Linked DNA regions of Saccharomyces cerevisiae S288C. The gene in region 1 interacts genetically with each later gene. Each region holds a gene or a part of one and is shown in the gene's direction. Other genes may lie near its edges.

What was found.
Region 2: mutations in ACE2 (region 1) and JJJ3 together harm fitness more than expected from each alone (negative genetic interaction), as found in Saccharomyces cerevisiae (2 studies listed by BioGRID).
Region 3: mutations in ACE2 (region 1) and PRM7 together harm fitness more than expected from each alone (negative genetic interaction), as found in Saccharomyces cerevisiae (2 studies listed by BioGRID).

The regions. Positions count from the first base shown.
Region 1 is NC_001144.5:399,134-408,426, reverse strand, and holds ACE2 (DNA-binding transcription factor ACE2), read left to right. Parts: upstream 1-1,604; coding exon 1,605-3,917; downstream 3,918-9,293. Other genes in the region: USB1 (phosphoric diester hydrolase), read left to right, coding at 272-1,144; low-affinity Zn(2+) transporter ZRT2, read left to right, coding at 4,365-5,633; snoRNA-binding rRNA-processing protein DIP2, read right to left, coding at 5,939-8,770; NEDD8 ligase DCN1, read right to left, coding at 8,994-9,293. UniProt on the Saccharomyces cerevisiae protein: Plays a role in regulating basal-level expression of CUP1. Activates EGT2 transcription in the absence of SWI5.
Region 2 is NC_001142.9:610,545-615,106, forward strand, and holds JJJ3 (Jjj3p), read left to right. Parts: upstream 1-1,868; coding exon 1,869-2,387; downstream 2,388-4,562. Other genes in the region: SFC1 (Sfc1p), read left to right, coding at 1-197; YJR096W (aldo-keto reductase superfamily protein), read left to right, coding at 651-1,499; YJR098C (uncharacterized protein), read right to left, coding at 2,642-4,562.
Region 3 is NC_001136.10:379,810-386,047, reverse strand, and holds PRM7 (pheromone-regulated protein PRM7), read left to right. Parts: upstream 1-1,966; coding exon 1,967-4,063; downstream 4,064-6,238. Other genes in the region: BSC1 (Bsc1p), read left to right, coding at 461-1,447; peptide alpha-N-acetyltransferase complex A subunit NAT1, read left to right, coding at 4,610-6,238.

The DNA.
Region 1 (9,293 bases):
GTGCGTATCTATGTGTGTGTATTCTATAAGAGTACAAAAAAAAACTGTATATTGTTGTCCTAATTCTATAACTTTTCCATTTGGCTTATCCTTACTTACAGCCACAGAGCTTCTATTCTGTCTCTTCGAGATTTAACCGGCTGGGCCGACAAGAAAAACGGTAGAGCACCATGTGAATATTATACCATAAAGAACAAAGAACAAGAGAACGATCTGTTGGTGGTGTTCTAAAGTGAAGGAGGTTACCAATCGCTTAGAAGAAGACTGGCCTATGGAATTCATATCTGCAGACTATTCTAGCAGTGACGGTAGTGATACCGAGAGCGAAAGTAGTAACAAAAGTGAGGTCCAAATCGAATACACGGAGAAAACTTGCATACAGAAAGCCGATTCCACTGATTTACCTGCAATACCGGATTCAATTATATTGAAGTACCACATCCCTCCGAATTTACAAAAGTACGAGCACCAGGATATGAATATGAGTCGATTTTGGCGTTCGTTCACATATTTTGAGTGGCGTCCGACTCCAGCGATTCACCGACAACTTCAGAAAATCATATGTAAATATAAAGAAACATTTATGAAACAGGAATACACTAATCCGTATCAACTGGTGGATTTTGACCCGTTGTTCATCTCACACTTGGGAGCCCCCAAACCTTTACACGTTTCCTTAACTCGATCGTTGTTGTTTGAAACTGAAGAACAAAGACATGTTTTCATTCAAGAAATGCGTAATGGTTTACGAAATAATGAAATAACCCCTTTTAAACTTCAAATCTGCTCATATCCGAAGTTATATATATCAGAACGAGCCAACACCTTGTACCTCGGTCTCCCTGTCTCAGAATGTCCCAATAAGGCACAAATTTCTCCTTTCAAAACGATAATAGCTGAGGCACTTCAGAAATCAGGCATTTCAAACTATCAGGATTTAATTGTAAGTAGGCAAAATTTACATGTTTCAATTGCCATCGCTAGCAACCCTTCAAAAGCCACATTAAAACGTTATCAACAATTAAACGAGACGATGGGGGCGCTTTTACTACTCAATAATGACTTTGCATACAAACTAGAGTTCTTAGTTAACTCTATCTATTGTGATGAAAACCGTCACTCCATTAGAATCCCTTTTAACTAATAGTGTTATAGGAATAGCCGCCCAAAAATACCGGGGCACTGAGAGCGGCTCGTCAGATAGGTGAAGGTTGTCATAATATACGATATATATCTCAAAACGGCAAAATGTAAACATTGGCACTTTGGGAAAATTTCAGGACACTTTTGGTTTACAGGTAAAGGATAAGGATGCTTGTAGCTAGTAAATCAACTCCAGAAAGCATTTAGCCATTAACGGGCAAATATTAAGGAGGGAGTACTGTTTGTTTACTCGCAATATTTCTGTCCCTTTTCTTTCATTAAGGGTTTTATAGTACACATAAACTTATAACAACCTCTCTCGGCATTGTACCTAGCAAACAAAAGCTACGTTGCAGGGAGACTCAAGCAACAGTTAAAGTGCTAGAAGAAAAAAATACAAGGCATAAATTCAAGAAATAACTAAAGAAATCTATAGGACCAAAAACGGTGTTAATACAATCATGGATAACGTTGTAGATCCGTGGTATATAAATCCCTCAGGCTTCGCGAAAGACACTCAAGATGAGGAGTATGTTCAACATCATGATAATGTCAATCCTACCATACCCCCACCCGACAATTATATTTTGAATAATGAAAACGATGATGGCCTCGATAACTTGTTAGGTATGGACTACTATAACATCGATGACCTGTTGACTCAAGAGTTAAGAGATCTGGATATTCCTTTAGTGCCTTCTCCTAAGACGGGCGATGGTTCTTCTGATAAAAAGAATATTGATAGAACTTGGAACCTTGGTGATGAAAACAACAAAGTCTCCCACTATAGCAAAAAATCAATGTCCTCACACAAGAGAGGTCTAAGTGGCACAGCGATATTTGGATTTCTCGGCCATAATAAGACATTGAGTATTTCCAGTTTACAGCAATCCATTCTAAATATGTCTAAAGATCCGCAACCCATGGAACTCATAAATGAATTGGGTAATCATAATACGGTAAAAAATAACAATGATGACTTTGACCATATAAGGGAAAATGATGGTGAAAATAGCTATTTGAGCCAAGTTTTGTTGAAACAGCAGGAGGAGTTAAGAATTGCTCTTGAAAAACAAAAGGAAGTGAACGAAAAATTGGAGAAGCAGTTGAGAGACAATCAAATACAGCAAGAAAAGTTGCGTAAAGTATTAGAAGAGCAAGAAGAGGTGGCGCAGAAGTTGGTTTCTGGGGCTACAAATTCTAATTCCAAACCTGGATCTCCAGTAATACTAAAGACACCTGCCATGCAAAACGGTAGAATGAAAGATAATGCTATAATCGTCACAACGAACTCTGCAAATGGCGGATATCAATTTCCTCCTCCGACGTTAATATCGCCTCGGATGTCAAATACTTCAATAAATGGTTCACCATCCAGGAAATACCATAGGCAACGATATCCAAATAAAAGCCCAGAAAGTAATGGATTGAACCTTTTTTCCTCTAACAGTGGTTATTTGAGAGATTCTGAACTGCTTTCATTTTCTCCACAAAATTATAATTTAAACTTGGACGGCTTGACTTATAATGACCATAATAACACCAGTGATAAAAACAATAATGATAAAAAAAATAGTACTGGTGATAACATATTCCGTCTGTTCGAAAAGACTTCCCCGGGTGGGCTAAGTATCTCTCCAAGGATAAATGGAAATAGTTTGAGATCGCCCTTCCTCGTCGGCACAGATAAAAGCAGGGATGATCGATATGCTGCTGGCACGTTCACGCCTAGAACACAGTTGTCACCTATCCACAAGAAAAGGGAATCCGTAGTTTCCACGGTCTCGACAATATCACAACTGCAGGATGACACTGAACCCATCCACATGCGAAATACCCAGAACCCAACATTAAGAAATGCAAACGCTTTAGCGTCATCAAGTGTACTACCTCCTATTCCTGGTTCCAGCAATAACACTCCAATTAAGAATTCTTTGCCACAAAAACATGTATTTCAACATACTCCCGTCAAAGCTCCACCAAAGAACGGAAGTAACCTAGCTCCGCTTCTAAATGCACCGGATTTAACAGATCATCAGTTAGAAATTAAGACACCCATACGAAATAACAGTCACTGTGAAGTGGAAAGCTATCCGCAAGTACCACCTGTCACACATGATATTCACAAAAGCCCCACTTTGCATAGTACGTCTCCTTTACCAGATGAAATAATACCTAGGACTACGCCAATGAAAATAACCAAGAAACCAACTACTCTGCCTCCGGGTACCATTGACCAGTACGTCAAGGAACTACCCGACAAACTATTCGAGTGCTTATACCCTAACTGTAACAAAGTATTCAAGCGTAGATACAACATAAGGTCGCATATTCAGACACATTTGCAAGATAGACCGTATTCATGCGACTTTCCCGGTTGCACCAAGGCGTTTGTTCGCAATCATGATTTAATAAGACACAAAATCTCCCATAATGCCAAGAAATACATCTGCCCATGCGGAAAGAGATTTAATAGGGAGGATGCTCTAATGGTGCATAGAAGTCGGATGATTTGCACCGGCGGTAAGAAATTAGAACATTCGATCAACAAGAAACTTACATCTCCCAAAAAAAGCCTGCTTGACAGCCCGCATGACACAAGTCCCGTAAAAGAAACTATCGCCCGGGATAAAGATGGGAGCGTCCTAATGAAAATGGAGGAACAGCTGCGAGATGATATGCGCAAACATGGATTACTGGATCCACCCCCATCCACAGCAGCGCACGAGCAAAACTCGAACCGCACCCTTTCAAACGAAACTGATGCTCTCTGACGAACATTTATCTATGCATGATATTAACATAATAAATAATAGTAACAATAATATAATACATTTATTTCTTTACGATTTACGTACACTGTAGTCTTAAGGGCCAAAAAAGGCAATAGTCATCGTTTATAGGGACATAACCCTAAAGGTTATATGCGACTCCTTCTCGAAAATGAAAATTTTTCACAACCTTTAGGGTACATTGCCCTTTAACTACTACAAACCAGCTTCACACATCCTTTGGTAAAACACAGTGTGACGATTTTAAATGACGCAACCTTTTGGGAGACACGATCTAAAACCCACTATATATGATGATACTGTTTATTGAATCATACACCCTGTTGGTTAGACCGGAAGAAAGCTAAAGTTGATCTCCGAAAATACAACGGTGCATCAACCAAAGAAAACATTGCAGGCGTTTCCAAGTGACACTGCATATTCGAAAGTATGGTTGATCTTATAGCGAGGGATGACTCCGTAGATACTTGCCAAGCTTCTAACGGCTACAATGGGCACGCAGGTCTTAGAATTCTGGCAGTATTCATTATACTGATATCGTCAGGATTGGGAGTTTATTTCCCAATTTTGTCATCACGGTATTCGTTTATAAGGCTACCAAATTGGTGCTTTTTCATAGCGAAGTTCTTCGGTTCTGGTGTCATTGTTGCCACAGCGTTCGTTCATCTTCTACAGCCCGCAGCCGAAGCTCTGGGAGATGAATGTCTTGGTGGCACATTTGCCGAATATCCATGGGCTTTTGGGATCTGTTTAATGTCGCTTTTCTTACTTTTCTTCACTGAAATCATCACGCATTATTTTGTAGCGAAAACGCTGGGACACGATCATGGGGACCATGGGGAAGTTACCAGTATTGATGTTGATGCTCCCAGTTCGGGATTTGTCATCAGAAATATGGACTCGGATCCTGTATCTTTCAATAACGAAGCTGCCTACTCCATCCATAATGACAAAACTCCGTACACTACTAGAAATGAAGAGATTGTCGCTACTCCTATAAAGGAAAAAGAACCCGGCTCAAATGTTACTAATTATGATCTGGAACCGGGAAAAACAGAGTCACTAGCTAATGAACTAGTTCCAACCAGTTCCCATGCGACAAATCTCGCTTCTGTACCTGGAAAAGATCATTATTCTCACGAAAATGACCATCAAGATGTCTCCCAGTTGGCCACACGTATCGAGGAGGAAGATAAAGAGCAGTATCTCAATCAGATACTAGCTGTTTTTATTCTAGAATTTGGCATCATCTTTCACTCTGTATTTGTGGGTCTTTCGCTATCTGTCGCGGGTGAAGAATTCGAAACCTTATTTATCGTTTTAACTTTCCACCAAATGTTCGAAGGTTTGGGTCTAGGCACAAGAGTTGCCGAAACGAATTGGCCAGAAAGTAAGAAGTACATGCCTTGGTTAATGGGATTAGCCTTCACTTTAACGTCACCCATAGCAGTCGCGGTAGGTATTGGTGTCAGACACTCTTGGATACCTGGCTCTAGAAGAGCATTAATTGCTAATGGTGTTTTTGACTCGATATCATCAGGAATTCTTATTTATACTGGACTAGTCGAATTAATGGCTCATGAATTCTTATACTCTAATCAATTCAAAGGACCTGATGGCCTCAAAAAAATGCTTAGTGCATATCTCATCATGTGTTGTGGAGCTGCTTTAATGGCTCTTCTAGGGAAATGGGCATAGTATCTCACGTATATTTTGTTAGATTAGATAGTTATTCATTATCAAAAAAAAAAAAATGCATGACCTATAATTTTACAACTGCTCTGCAGAGACGAGAGACATCTCGCAAAAAACAGCATATGTCAGCGACCAATAAGTATAAAAAACACATATTCCGTTATTTGGATATGCCCATTATTACCGAAGGGCAATCGGAATGACAATTTTTATGATTGGAATTGTATAATATACAGATAATTTAATCTATCCTTTTGAAGTGTGAAAAGGGCAGAGTAATGCCGGTATTATGTAGGATAATAGTTTTATTATATAACGGTCCCGAAAACTCTCTTCCTTGCACTATTACTCTCTTTCTCCTGTTGGTCATATTCGTCAACGAATTCGTAGTTATGCCTTAGATTCCATTGTTGCTTGACGAATTTCAACCCTTGAACATTAAAGCCTAGATCATCCTCGGTAGATTTTAATGCACTTCTTAATTCAGTCTTTACTCTATTTATTTGCAATTTCAATTCTTCATTTTTCTGAGAAACCAATTCTTTATGATTAAATTTGATAATGAAAAATAAATTCTTGCAAATTAATGGTAAGTGAGAGTGCAGCAAAGTTTTGTTTTGCATAACGGTATCAATAAATTTTAAAAATTTGAGGACATATGAGAATGGCATAACCATCAGTGCATCTTCTAACTGAGACATTCTTATTCTTAACAGGGTATCCATAATATATTGCTCAGGAGTTTTATTCACAGCAATTAGAACAGCGTTACCCTGTGGTTTTATTGGCGCTTCACCCAACTTCTTTCTTTGCCATAGCTTCATATCTCTGTTATATGCCTCTAAACCTTCAATCTCAGCAATTCCTAAATCTAGCGCCTCCATAAGTCTTTCACCAGCCTTTAACGATTCTAAAGTCTGTTTATGAACACCGGATGCTTCATCTTCAACGCCTTCACCCGATGCATCAGCTTTAAATGCATCATCACCGTTTCCTTCTTCCAAAGAAGTTAGCAATGTATCCTCGTACTGTTCTTCAAGTTCTTTCTCCTTTTCCTCTTCTAAAAATACCTGGTCCTCGGTTTCTTCCCAGATTCTTATACTGTGATCATGGGATGAAGAAACAACAAAGCCGCCATCAGTAGCAACCGCCAAAGCCCAAACTTCGCTCTGATGAGCGTATAGTTTTTGAATGCATTCAAATTTCTCGCCATCCCAATATTTCACCACTGCGTCTTTAGAACAACTAAAGAAGTTGTGAGACTGTGGTAAGAATTTAACGTTCATAATCGAATCCTGATGGGCAAATAAAGACTTGTGACAGTCACCAAAATCTAAACCCCAAATCTTGATATTTTTGTCTGCGGAAGACGTAATAATCATCTTAGAATCAAATGAAATATCGATAGATAGTACAGGTAATTTGTGCCCATATAAACTTAGGTAAAACTTCATTGAGTCCAAAAAGAATACCTTAACAGTATTATCCAGCAACGAGATGGCTAGATATCTATCGTCAGGAGAAACCCGTACACATAAAATGTCGTCAGTTAATTCCAAAGTTGTATCATGGTGCAGTTTTAAAACAGGCAGGAATTTGTTCTTGGTACCTGGCACTAGGCTATTTTCAACTTTGAAATCCCAAAACTTGACAGTTTTATCGGCAGATCCGGTCACTAATCGTTTACCATCTGAGGTCAGATCTAGCGACCAAATTGCCGCATCATGTGCATCTTCAATGGTATCCAAAAGACTTGATGATGCTAGATCAAAGAGCTGTAACTCCCCGTTTCTTGTACCCAGTATGACTAGTAGCCCACCTGGCAAAAACTTACAAGTTAATGCATACCCACATTCGAAAGTTCTGATACATTTATGTGTTTTGATATTCCATATTTTCAATGAACCATTGGATGCTGTGGCAAGTAATTTGTTATCATCACTGATGTCAATACTACGCACATCCGTTCTTTGCCCTTGCAATTCAATAGTATGTGTCTTGAGAGGAGCAGGGCTTGTTGGGTCTCTTTTTTCATATGGAATGGAATAATACTCTATGGTATTACTCGATGTAGTTAATACCAACTCAAGTTTGGAACTTGAGACCGTTGTCCATGATGCAGATTTTATTTTATACAATGATCTTATGGTTTGAAAAGGATGCAATATAAAGGAGGAGTAGGATTCTTTAATAGATTTTGCAATTTCTTCTTCTGTCAACCCCTTTTCTTTTAGCCTCTTCTCTCTTTTCTTTAAACCTCTTGCTATTTCTTCTTCTTTTCTAATTCTGAAAGTCTCGATGGTTTTATCAGCATTTTGGATGTAAAAAAAAGAGGTTTTGTCAGACGAATTTGTTATGAACTCAATCTTTAACCCACGTTGCTTACTTTGCTTTTCGAAAATACCCATCTCTGTTAGTTTCCCCCCCATTTTGTCATTTTCTATATCCAGTTTCCAAATTTTTACTTGACTATCAGTACCAGTTGTGATCAGTAAATCATCCTTCACTGCAAGGCCCCAACACTCTCCAGTATGCGCAATATGTGTCTCTATACATTGATGTGTTTTTAGGTCCCATAGCTTGATCATTCCATCTTTGGAGGTGCTGATCAGCCAATCTTCTCCTTGACACCAAAAGCCAGTAATGGAATCCTTGTGTGATCTAAGTTTATAAAGACCAACTTCTCCAACAAGATCCCATACAATGATATTGGAGTCCTTGGAACCAGAAATTAATCTTGTGCCAGTCCCATCAAATTGTAATAATGTTATAGCTGCTTTGTGACCGTTAAAATTCAAAAGCACAGTCTTAGACATCAAATCCCAAACTTTAATGACACCATCTGCGTAACCGACAGCTAATAAATCCGTATCTTTATGAGCCTCCAAATATGTACACTCGGCTGGCTTGGCGCCTCTAGCATCAGATGCGCCTGGAGGTAAGCCATCGGATAATTTACTGACCAAATCCCCGGTCTTAATATCCCATATATTAACGTCCTCGAGAGCACTCGTAATCAATTGTCCTGGTCCACTACCATTACTATTTCCGGATGACGCAGGTATCCAAACACAATTGGCATTGGAGGCTATTACACCAAAAGCAGCTGCTTGCTCAAAACGTTGGTATGATTTGACCATAATAGCTCTTATTCCAGTTTCTCTGGTCCTTCTAGTGGCTACTCTGATATACGTACGACCTTATACAATATCTACATCTATATTATGAGGGAACTGAAAATTTCTGAAAAATTTTCCACTGCTCATCGCGTTTTTTATTTCCGCCTTATTCCCATCTATCTTAGAAGGGTAACGTATTCCATGCAATATTAAACAGCATACCCTTAAGTATATGAAAGGATGTTTATTGCTGATCCTGTAAGCACTCATAGAACTCATCGATAATAAATGGCCAGGCTGCAGTTTCGTCGTAATCGCTTATTATTTTCTGAATAGTGGGGTATCGTTTGAAAAAGAGGAGCAGCATACGCCAGGTGTCTTTACTTATAGTGGTTTTCCCCTCATCGCGAAGGAAACGGAACCATGCCTCAAGCAAATCTGGTTCCATACGCACTGGGTACTCTGGTTGGAAAAATAGCTTCCAATACTGGATGCCTTCGTCTGTATCTATATCCTTTCGATTTGGGTCCAGAATCAAATTGAA
Region 2 (4,562 bases), on another chromosome or scaffold:
AAATCATAACCATTGGTGCTCAACTACTGAAAGAAGAAGGTTTTAGAGCTTTGTACAAGGGTATTACCCCAAGAGTGATGAGGGTGGCTCCAGGTCAGGCTGTCACCTTTACCGTTTATGAATATGTAAGGGAGCATTTAGAAAATTTGGGTATATTCAAGAAGAATGACACACCAAAGCCAAAGCCATTAAAGTAGATGATGAACAATGGGACTACAAAATGAAATAAAGAAAAAATAGAAATAGGCTAGAAGATCAATTATTAATCGCCCTATTCTTCCTTATTACCTACACAAAATAAAGCAGCAACATAAGAAACAAAAACAAAATGAAAACAAACCAAATAAATCTATGTAAGCATACTCATTTCAATTTGATATTCATTACTTGACTTTTTTGTCCTTATTTGAGGCTCCATAAGCGCGCCATTTTTCCCTACTCCCTTTTTTCGTAAATAGTAATAATGTGCTGAAAAGAACAATGAAGTAGTTATCATACATATTCCGTCGTGTCGATATGAGGGGAGGTGTCTCTTTCTTTCATCCCTTGTCGCAACCTCCAATATATAAGAGCATAAGCAACTGATCTTACTTTAGTAATTAACTTAGCATACCTAGCCCGAAGGAAGAAAAAAAATTCACCTCAACAACATGGTTCCTAAGTTTTACAAACTTTCAAACGGCTTCAAAATCCCAAGCATTGCTTTGGGAACCTACGATATTCCAAGATCGCAAACAGCCGAAATTGTGTATGAAGGTGTCAAGTGCGGCTACCGTCATTTCGATACTGCTGTTCTTTATGGTAATGAGAAGGAAGTTGGCGATGGTATCATTAAATGGTTGAACGAAGATCCAGGGAACCATAAACGTGAGGAAATCTTCTACACTACTAAATTATGGAATTCGCAAAACGGATATAAAAGAGCTAAAGCTGCCATTCGGCAATGTTTGAATGAAGTCTCGGGCTTGCAATACATCGATCTTCTTTTGATTCATTCGCCACTGGAAGGTTCTAAATTAAGGTTGGAAACTTGGCGCGCCATGCAAGAAGCGGTTGATGAAGGATTGGTTAAGTCTATAGGGGTTTCCAACTATGGGAAAAAGCACATTGATGAACTTTTGAACTGGCCAGAACTGAAGCACAAGCCAGTGGTCAACCAAATCGAGATATCACCTTGGATTATGAGACAAGAATTAGCAGATTACTGTAAATCTAAAGGTCTCGTCGTCGAAGCCTTTGCCCCATTGTGTCACGGCTACAAAATGACTAATCCAGATTTATTAAAAGTTTGCAAAGAGGTGGACCGTAATCCAGGTCAAGTTTTGATTCGTTGGTCTTTACAACACGGTTATTTACCACTACCGAAGACTAAAACTGTGAAGAGGTTAGAAGGTAACCTTGCAGCCTACAACTTTGAACTGTCAGACGAACAGATGAAATTTCTTGATCATCCTGATGCTTATGAGCCTACCGATTGGGAATGCACAGACGCGCCATAAAAAGAAAATGCGAACCGTAGAATAACGTATATAGAACATATAATTAGTTTACGTTTCACAAAGTATTAATATTACATGTAGCTTTTTCAGGACTTTCGATCTAAATCAAAGATTAAAGGAGCTGCTAGAGGTAGAAAAGGAAATCATTGACTTTTCTTGAAGATTTATGAGCGGGTAACTGGAGATGGAAATTTTCAGAAAAATTGTAAATGGATGCGATGACTTCGATGTGACGTTACTAGTCTTACCATTGTAAAAACCACTATCGGTGCCAAAAGATAAGCGCAATCAACTAAGAAATTTACCACGCTCTTTGTATTGTATTTATCTCCAATTTAATCTTTCTTTTGGTGTGAAAATTTAGCGAAAATGTCATTGGTGAATTCGTTAACACACTACGAAATTTTAAGAATTCCATCGGATGCAACACAAGATGAAATCAAAAAGGCATATAGGAATCGGTTACTAAATACGCACCCCGATAAACTTTCTAAAAGCATACATGATACGGTTAGCAACGTCACAATCAATAAGATTCAAGATGCTTATAAAATACTATCGAATATAAAAACTCGTCGCGAATATGATAGGTTGATCCTTGAAAACTATAAACGCCAAGGATTTCATAATTGTGGTGATGGGCTGGATGAATTTTCCTTAGACGATTTCTCATTTGATGAAGATAAGCTGGAGTTTATGATGAATTGTCCTCGCTGTCAATTTGTTGGTGGTTTTCATTTTAGTGAGAGTTTGTTAGATGAATGCATTGATAATGTAGACGCTATGGAACGGAGTCATTCTGGTTATCAATTATTAACCCAATGTAGCGCATGCAGCTTATGGCTGAAGGTTAATTTTGACATCGAGGAAGAGCAAGAAGGACAATAATGAAAATGGGAGGGGAAATTGAGCATATCAGATAAATCTGTTTATAGAATTATTATTTTACTTCGTGGGAAATCGAATGGTGTATATAAAAGAGGTTGTAAAATTGACGAAATAAATAGTATTTAGGCAACTAAAGATAAAAAAATATTATTTATTTTTATTCGCGGTGCGTTGCCAGATTTTTTTTGACATGCGGAATTTTGGTAAAAAGAAAAATGCAGATATGAATAGTAAACAAAGGAATAAAAAGCCTTTCATGAAGAAGTTCGTGTTCGAGATCTTCTTCCTTCTTTTTCGCTGTCGACGATAGATATGAATGCTTTTGCCATTGATTTCAAATCCGTCATTAAGCTAACATGACCTGAAGAACTGGCGATTTTACAAACAACTGGAAAGCCTCTCTGTTCAGGCAATAACCATTTATGGTGAACAACACCGTCGCCCGGACCATAGTAAAAATCTTCATAATTCCCATCTTTTATATCTTGTATACCGTTCACTTTAGCACCTCTAACAGTGGGAACCTTGTTACCGTAAACCATGGCCAATGGAGGATATTCTTTGTTCGGGTCGTAATCTAAGCTATCCAAATAATTCTTTGTACGTTTTAAAGTTCTCGCTAAATATTCACAGCTATCTTCATAAGATGTATGGAAGACTTCATCGAAAGGCACATCCCTTGGTACCTGTTTATTATTGCCGGCTACATTCCTAACAACAGGTGCATTTAGGACAAACTTGGTAGTTGCGTTTAGGGTAGCTTTAAGCGAAAGCGCTGATTTCGTTTTCCTTGGTAATAATTTTGATTTTTCGTGAGCTGATTCCTCTCTTTTCTCATTGACGAGAGGTGACAAGCCAAGGGTTTTCCAAACATCTGTATCAAAAAAATCGAAATCATACCTCTCTAAGGTAATTTTGTCAACAAAACATCTACCATCTAACGGTAGAAAATAGAAACTACTTCTCATAAAAAAGTTGGTTTCTTTAGTGAAAATAGTTTTATTCCACATCACATCATCTCCAAACCTAATAGGACCTAAAATATTTGGACATTGGCTTGGGGAACCCACGTAAATAATACCTCTTATCAAATGAGTACAGTCTTGCAACACTTTATGTGCGACCAATCCGCCCATTGAATGGGCAATGATGTATATTCCCTTCTTATTTTTTTGCTTATTGTAAATTTCCTCTAGTTTAGTCGTTAAATGCTTGGCAGATATGTCCAAGGATAATCTCCAATCATAGCCAAACTGCTGAACATTTAAATTAGGATTTGCGTCTAGCCTCTTTATCAACCTCTTAGAGATATCAACAGGCCCTATATGTGTTAGCATTCCATCAGGGACAATCTCCTTCTGAGTTTTAAGTTCATCTTCGTCATTAGGTCCGATCAATAAATCGACTTTCGTCATATTCAAACCTGCCTTTAATGGGATCCAAATTCGCTTATGAGTAGTAGCATCCCTTAGCACACTACCTCGATATCCACCCATTATAACGACATCTCCTTCCAATTCATTCCATATAGATTCTAAACGCGAACGGTAATATCCGTCATGAGTTTTGTCGAATGGGTCTGCTGTTATTTGCTTAATGGAGTTCTTCAAGGCATCCATTTCCAAAGATTCTTTAACAGCCCTTAACCTTGAATTATCAATGCCCCTTTCGTATTTAAATAATTCTATCTCTTCCAAGGAAGAAATGGAGGTTGATTTTTTCAGTTTTTGCTTGATCTCATTCTTTCTTAGATTCTTTTTGATGAACTCATCTGGAGTCTTGGGAAGCACAGTTTTAATTATGGCTAATGGTGAACTTGATCGGAAATTTGTATTACCAAATGGTAAGGAAAAGGAGAAAGTTTTATGAGAGCTGTCATAGTTCCCGTCATGCGAATAAGAAATAATTTCATCGAGATCTTCATCATCAGCGTCAAGAGAAATGGCACTCGCTTGCTTCTCTTCTAAATTATGATAGTTATTGGGCCCAGTTGTTTCCTTCTTTCTTCCCCTTTGTTCACTATCGCTGTCTTTTTCTACTTTATTGCTTATAACTCTTGCACCTCCAATCAAGGTATCCACTTTCTCCATTGTATCCAATTCACCTTCGCTTTCATTTACGGAAAAAAAGCTTACATCACTACCACTATCACTTGAATCAGAAAGACATTGCTTG
Region 3 (6,238 bases), on another chromosome or scaffold:
TGACGATAAAACTGGCCCAGGCGAGATCAGATCAGCATTTGCACGTTGCATTTTACTTGTTTTCTTATTGGCAAAGAAAAAAAGCTCGGAACAAGCCACTAATACCCGATTCTATGCTTACAGAATAACCGATACTACTGGAAAGAAAAATTTTTCACATTAGTTCGCTGCATCTCCATGATCGTTTAATTATTTTATATTTAAGAGAAGCAAATCACTTCCTCCAATGTCATGATGGTCTTGGCAATTTTCCTCCCCTTGTTGCAAAAGTGTAAAATAGGTATCCACATCATTCATAAGAAAACTACTAATATCATTTTGCCTCCTATTTGCGGCCTTGCTCACAAATTCAGCGACTGCTGATAGAATTGATGACAAGGTGAGCCCTTCATTTGATCTAAGCAAAAGAGACGAAAGCGTTGCTATCAATGGTTGTCCAAATTTGGATTTCAACTGGCACATGAGCCAACAGAATATACTACATTATGATATGGATGTTACTTCCGTATCATGGGTCAAGGATAACACATACCAGATTACTATTCATGTCAAAGCCGTAAAAGATATCCCTTTGAAATATTTATGGTCTTTAAAGATTATTGGTGTCAACGGTCCCTCAAGCACCGTACAACTTTACGGCAAAAATGAGAAGACATACCTAATCAGTGATCCAACAGATTTTACATCCACTTTTCAGGTTTATGCTTACCCTTCTTCTGACGGTTGCACAGTTTGGATGCCAAATTTCCAAATCCAGTTCGAATATCTACAAGGTGATGCTGCTCAGTACTGGCAAACTTGGCAATGGGGGACAACCACCTTCGATTTATCGACAGGTTGTAACAATTATGACAATCAAGGCCACTCACAAACGGATTTCCCTGGATTTTATTGGACCTACCAGTGCAAGGGAAACAATGATGGCACTTGTACAAAAGCCTCGTCTTCATCCATTACTACTTCATCCATTACTACTTCATCCACTACTACTTCATCCACTACTACTTCATCCACTACTACTTCATCCTCTACTACTTCATCCTCTACTACTTCATCCTCTACTACTTCATCCTCTACTACTTCATCCTCTACTACTTCATCCTCTACTACTTCATCCTCTACTACTTCATCCTCTACTACTTCATCCTCTACTACTTCATCCTCTACTACTTCATCCTCTACTACTTCATCCTCTACGAAAACTTCCACTACTACGTCATCTACTGTGAAAAGCTCTTCCACTACATCCATTGATTTTACTACTTCCGTTGACTCACATACTTCATCAAGCGTAGCCGATATTTATCGTTCAAGAACATCTACTGATGTCACCACATTAGCAGCTTCAACTAGTCCTTTCAGCAGTTTCACTTCAAGTGACTCTAGTAGTTCAAGCGATGTAACCAGTTCAACCATTCAAACTACTTCTGTTGATCCAACCACTTAAGTAGTAAGTTCAAGTTCAGAAGACCCAACTAGTTCAAGCGCTGTGACTACTTCAGTTGACCCAACTACTTCAGTTGACCCAAATACTTCAGCTGATCCAACTACCTCGACCGTTCAAACTACTTCTGTTGATCCAACTACTTCAGTTGACCCAACTAGTTCTATAGTCAGTTCTACTTCAGTTGATCCAACTACTTCAGTTGACCCAACTACTTCAGCTGACCCAACTACCTCGACCGTTCAAACTACTTCAGCTGATCCAACTACTTCCGTAGTCAGTTCAAGTTCAGCTGATCTAAGTAGCTCTGTTATCAGTTCAAGTTCAGCAGACCCAACTAGTTCAAATGCTGTGACTACTTCAATTAACCCAACTACTCCAGCTGATTCAACTACTTCGGCCGTTCAAACTAGCCCAGCTGATCCAAGTAGCTCTGTTACCATTTCTACTTCCACAGACTCTACATCTTCAATTGAGTATACTACATCGGATGATCCACACGCCTCATCAAGTTTAGCGGCTATGTATCGTACAAGAAGCTCTGACGAGGTAACCACATCAACAGATCTAACTAGCTCAAGTGACGTTGCTACTTCAGTTGACCCAACTACTTCTGTTATCAGTTCAACTTCAGCAGACCCAACTACTTCAGCTGACTCAACTACCTCGACCGTTCAAACCACTTCAGCTGGTCCAAGTAACAACATCGGCAATTCCACTTTGGCCAATTCCACTACTTTTGCAGTTAGTTCCACTTCAATTGACCCAACTAGCTCGAGCGATGTGATTACTTCAACCGTTCAAACCACTTCAATTGAACCAACTACTTCTCTCGTCAGTTCAAACGATATTACTACTTCAACAAGTCTAAATATCTCTGTCGTGATTTCCACTTCCACGGACTCTACATCTTTAATTGAGTCTACTACAACAGTTGGTCCACATGCCTCATCAAGTGTTGCTGGTATGTATCGTACAAGAAGCTCTGACGAGGTAACCACATCAACAGATCCAACTAGCTCAAGTGACGTGGCTACTTCAGCAGATCCAACTAGTTCAAGCGCTGTGACTACTTTAGTTGACCCAACTACTTCTGTAGTCATTTCAACCTCAGTTGATCAAACTAGCTCAAGTGACGTTGCTACTTCAGTTGACCCAACCACTTCTGTTATCAGTTCAACTTCAGCAGACCCAACTACTTCAGCTGACTCAACTACCTCGACCGTTCAAACTACTTCAGTTGATCCAACTAGTTCTGTAGTCAGTTCCGCTCCAGTTGATCCGGCTAGTTCTGTTGTCAGTTTAACTTCATCTTACCCAACTAGCTCAAGCACTGTGACTATTTCTGCTAATTCAAACGGTTCAGCTACTTTAGCGGCTCAAACTACTTCAATTGATCCAGTTAGCTCCATCGTTAGTTCAAGCGGTGCAACTACTATCATCAGTAGCGCCTCAATTGATCCAGCTAGTTCTGTAGTTAGTTCAACTTCATCTGAACCAACCAGTTTTATTGTCAGTTCAACCTCAGTTTATTCAACCAGACCAAGTGGTCCAACTACTTCAACAGATCTAGCTACTTTCTCTGACACAATCATTCTAAGGGTTTCAACCACTTCAACCAGCCAAGATACCCAAACAGTATCATCTAGTCTAACTGATATGGTTTCCTCAACTGGTTCAGCTGATTTGAGCGTCTCATCCATTCAAAGATCTCAAGTAGACCCAAGCACTTTCGCTGTCTCGAATAGCCCAGTATATCCAACAGCTTCGACCGGATCAACTTCCACGGGCATTCCAATTGCGTCGGAAAGTCTAAGCCTTTCTAGACAGCAAGGAATTTCGGCCACTTCAAGTTCTTCGATTGTAACTTTAACCCCAGTTGATTCGGCTTCCTCGAGTAGGTCAAGCGCAACAAGTATAATCAAGCCTAATATGCCAGTTAGCAGCAATGATTCGAAGACCCAAAGTTCTGTTTCTGTAGTTGACGCATTCCAATCAACTAAATCTTCATATCCTAGCATAACTTCAGCAGACCCAACGACTCTAGCCAGTGAAAATGGTTTAGTCGGCTCATCTTCCTCAGCTCATCCAATCACATTAGATAGAACTTATGCATCAGCTCACGCAAGCGTCACCGATATTGTCAGTAGAGTTACTGACTCGACTCGCCATACAACACTAGTAACTTCAAACATTAACATTCAGTCTGAGGTTGGGAACCCAAATTACTCGGGTCCCAAAGACACTACCATCACCAAACAATCTGCATTTATGACTTCTCCTGCATCAACGTCTACTATAAGTAACGTTCAATCAACTGCTTCCGTAATGAATCACAGTATTGAGGACAATATTTCTGCAGCTGCCTCTCTAGAAAGTGTTTCTGGTACCTCAACTAAAGATTATTCTAGTCAATCCAGTGCCATTCATTATACAAATTCCTTCACGACCACCACTACTAACGCATTTATCACATCAAAGCATTCCATTGCTGCTGTATCAACAGGAGCCATTACATCATCTGCCAGCATTTCATTAATCATGGAAGGCAGCGCAAACATTGAAGCAGTAGGAAAATTGGTGTGGCTCGCTGCCGCTCTTCCTCTAGCTTTCATTTAGTCATTCTACCATCTTTCATGTCCCTACGCCATTCTCGTTCGTATACCATATAAACCAATTATAGATTTTACATAGAATAATAGTTAAATTTGATTATAGAATATCTTCGGATTCAATAAAAAATTATTATTATCAGACTCTTTCTGTCCACTCCTTGAAGTATGCAAAGTGCTTCGAGAACGCCATGACATTCGACAATTCAAAATTGAGAGAGGACTGCTAAGGAAACTCTTTGAGTTGATTATATAATCGCTATTTAATCTTTTAAAGGGGGAATACTGCTAAATTTTCATTATTGTACAACTGGAGACATGATAGGCCTGAAATGTGCCACCAAATTGCATGACCTTGCTAATGAGGTCGCTGGGTTGCGTATGCACTTTTTACCCTGCTCCGCGTCGAAACAGAACATAATACAGAGTAAAGAGGAAAGAGCGAAAATGAAAAAGTTTCTACACTCAAAAGTCAAACCTTTTTAAAAAGTGATGTTCAGATTCCTTGTTTAAGACAAATACCATTGAGGAAGGCGATTGACCCTAACGAAGTATGTCTAGGAAAAGAAGTACTAAGCCCAAGCCAGCAGCTAAAATAGCTTTGAAAAAAGAAAATGACCAGTTCCTCGAGGCATTGAAACTATACGAAGGGAAGCAATACAAAAAATCTCTCAAGCTGCTAGACGCAATTTTGAAAAAAGACGGTAGTCACGTTGATTCCTTGGCTTTAAAGGGTCTTGATTTATATTCTGTAGGTGAGAAAGATGACGCTGCTTCCTACGTGGCTAATGCCATCAGAAAAATTGAAGGCGCTTCAGCATCACCAATCTGCTGTCATGTATTAGGTATCTACATGAGAAACACCAAAGAGTACAAAGAATCTATTAAATGGTTCACGGCAGCTTTGAACAATGGGTCCACTAACAAGCAAATATATAGAGACTTAGCAACTTTGCAATCACAAATTGGCGATTTCAAAAATGCTTTAGTGTCCAGGAAAAAATATTGGGAAGCATTCCTTGGTTACCGTGCCAACTGGACATCATTGGCTGTGGCACAAGATGTGAACGGTGAGAGGCAACAAGCTATTAACACTTTATCTCAGTTTGAAAAACTCGCTGAGGGAAAAATATCTGATTCCGAGAAATATGAACACAGCGAGTGTTTAATGTACAAAAACGACATTATGTATAAAGCTGCCAGTGATAACCAAGACAAGTTACAAAATGTATTGAAACATTTGAATGATATCGAGCCATGCGTCTTTGATAAATTTGGTTTATTAGAGAGAAAAGCAACTATTTACATGAAATTGGGTCAATTGAAAGACGCGTCCATTGTTTATAGAACTCTGATCAAGAGAAATCCAGATAATTTTAAGTACTACAAATTACTGGAAGTATCCTTGGGAATCCAAGGTGACAATAAATTGAAGAAGGCTTTGTATGGAAAACTTGAACAATTTTATCCAAGATGCGAACCACCCAAATTTATTCCATTAACTTTCCTTCAAGACAAAGAAGAGCTCAGCAAAAAATTGAGAGAATATGTTTTGCCTCAATTGGAGCGCGGTGTTCCAGCAACTTTTTCCAACGTGAAACCCCTTTACCAAAGAAGGAAGTCCAAGGTTTCACCACTATTGGAGAAAATTGTCCTTGATTATTTGTCCGGATTAGATCCTACGCAGGATCCAATTCCTTTTATTTGGACCAATTATTACTTGTCTCAACATTTCCTTTTCCTTAAGGATTTTCCGAAAGCCCAAGAATATATTGATGCTGCCCTTGACCACACCCCAACTTTAGTTGAGTTTTACATCCTCAAGGCACGTATCCTGAAGCACTTAGGCCTAATGGACACAGCGGCTGGAATTTTGGAGGAAGGTAGGCAACTTGATTTGCAGGATAGATTTATCAACTGTAAAACGGTTAAGTACTTTTTAAGGGCTAACAATATCGACAAGGCGGTGGAAGTCGCGTCCCTTTTCACCAAAAACGATGATTCTGTTAATGGTATTAAGGACTTACACCTTGTGGAAGCTTCTTGGTTCATCGTAGAACAGGCAGAAGCCTATTATAGACTATACCTGGATAGAAAAAAGAAATTAGACGATTTAGCATCGCTAAAAAAAGAGGTTGAAAGTGATAAAAGCGAACAAATTGCGAATGATATCAAAGAAAAC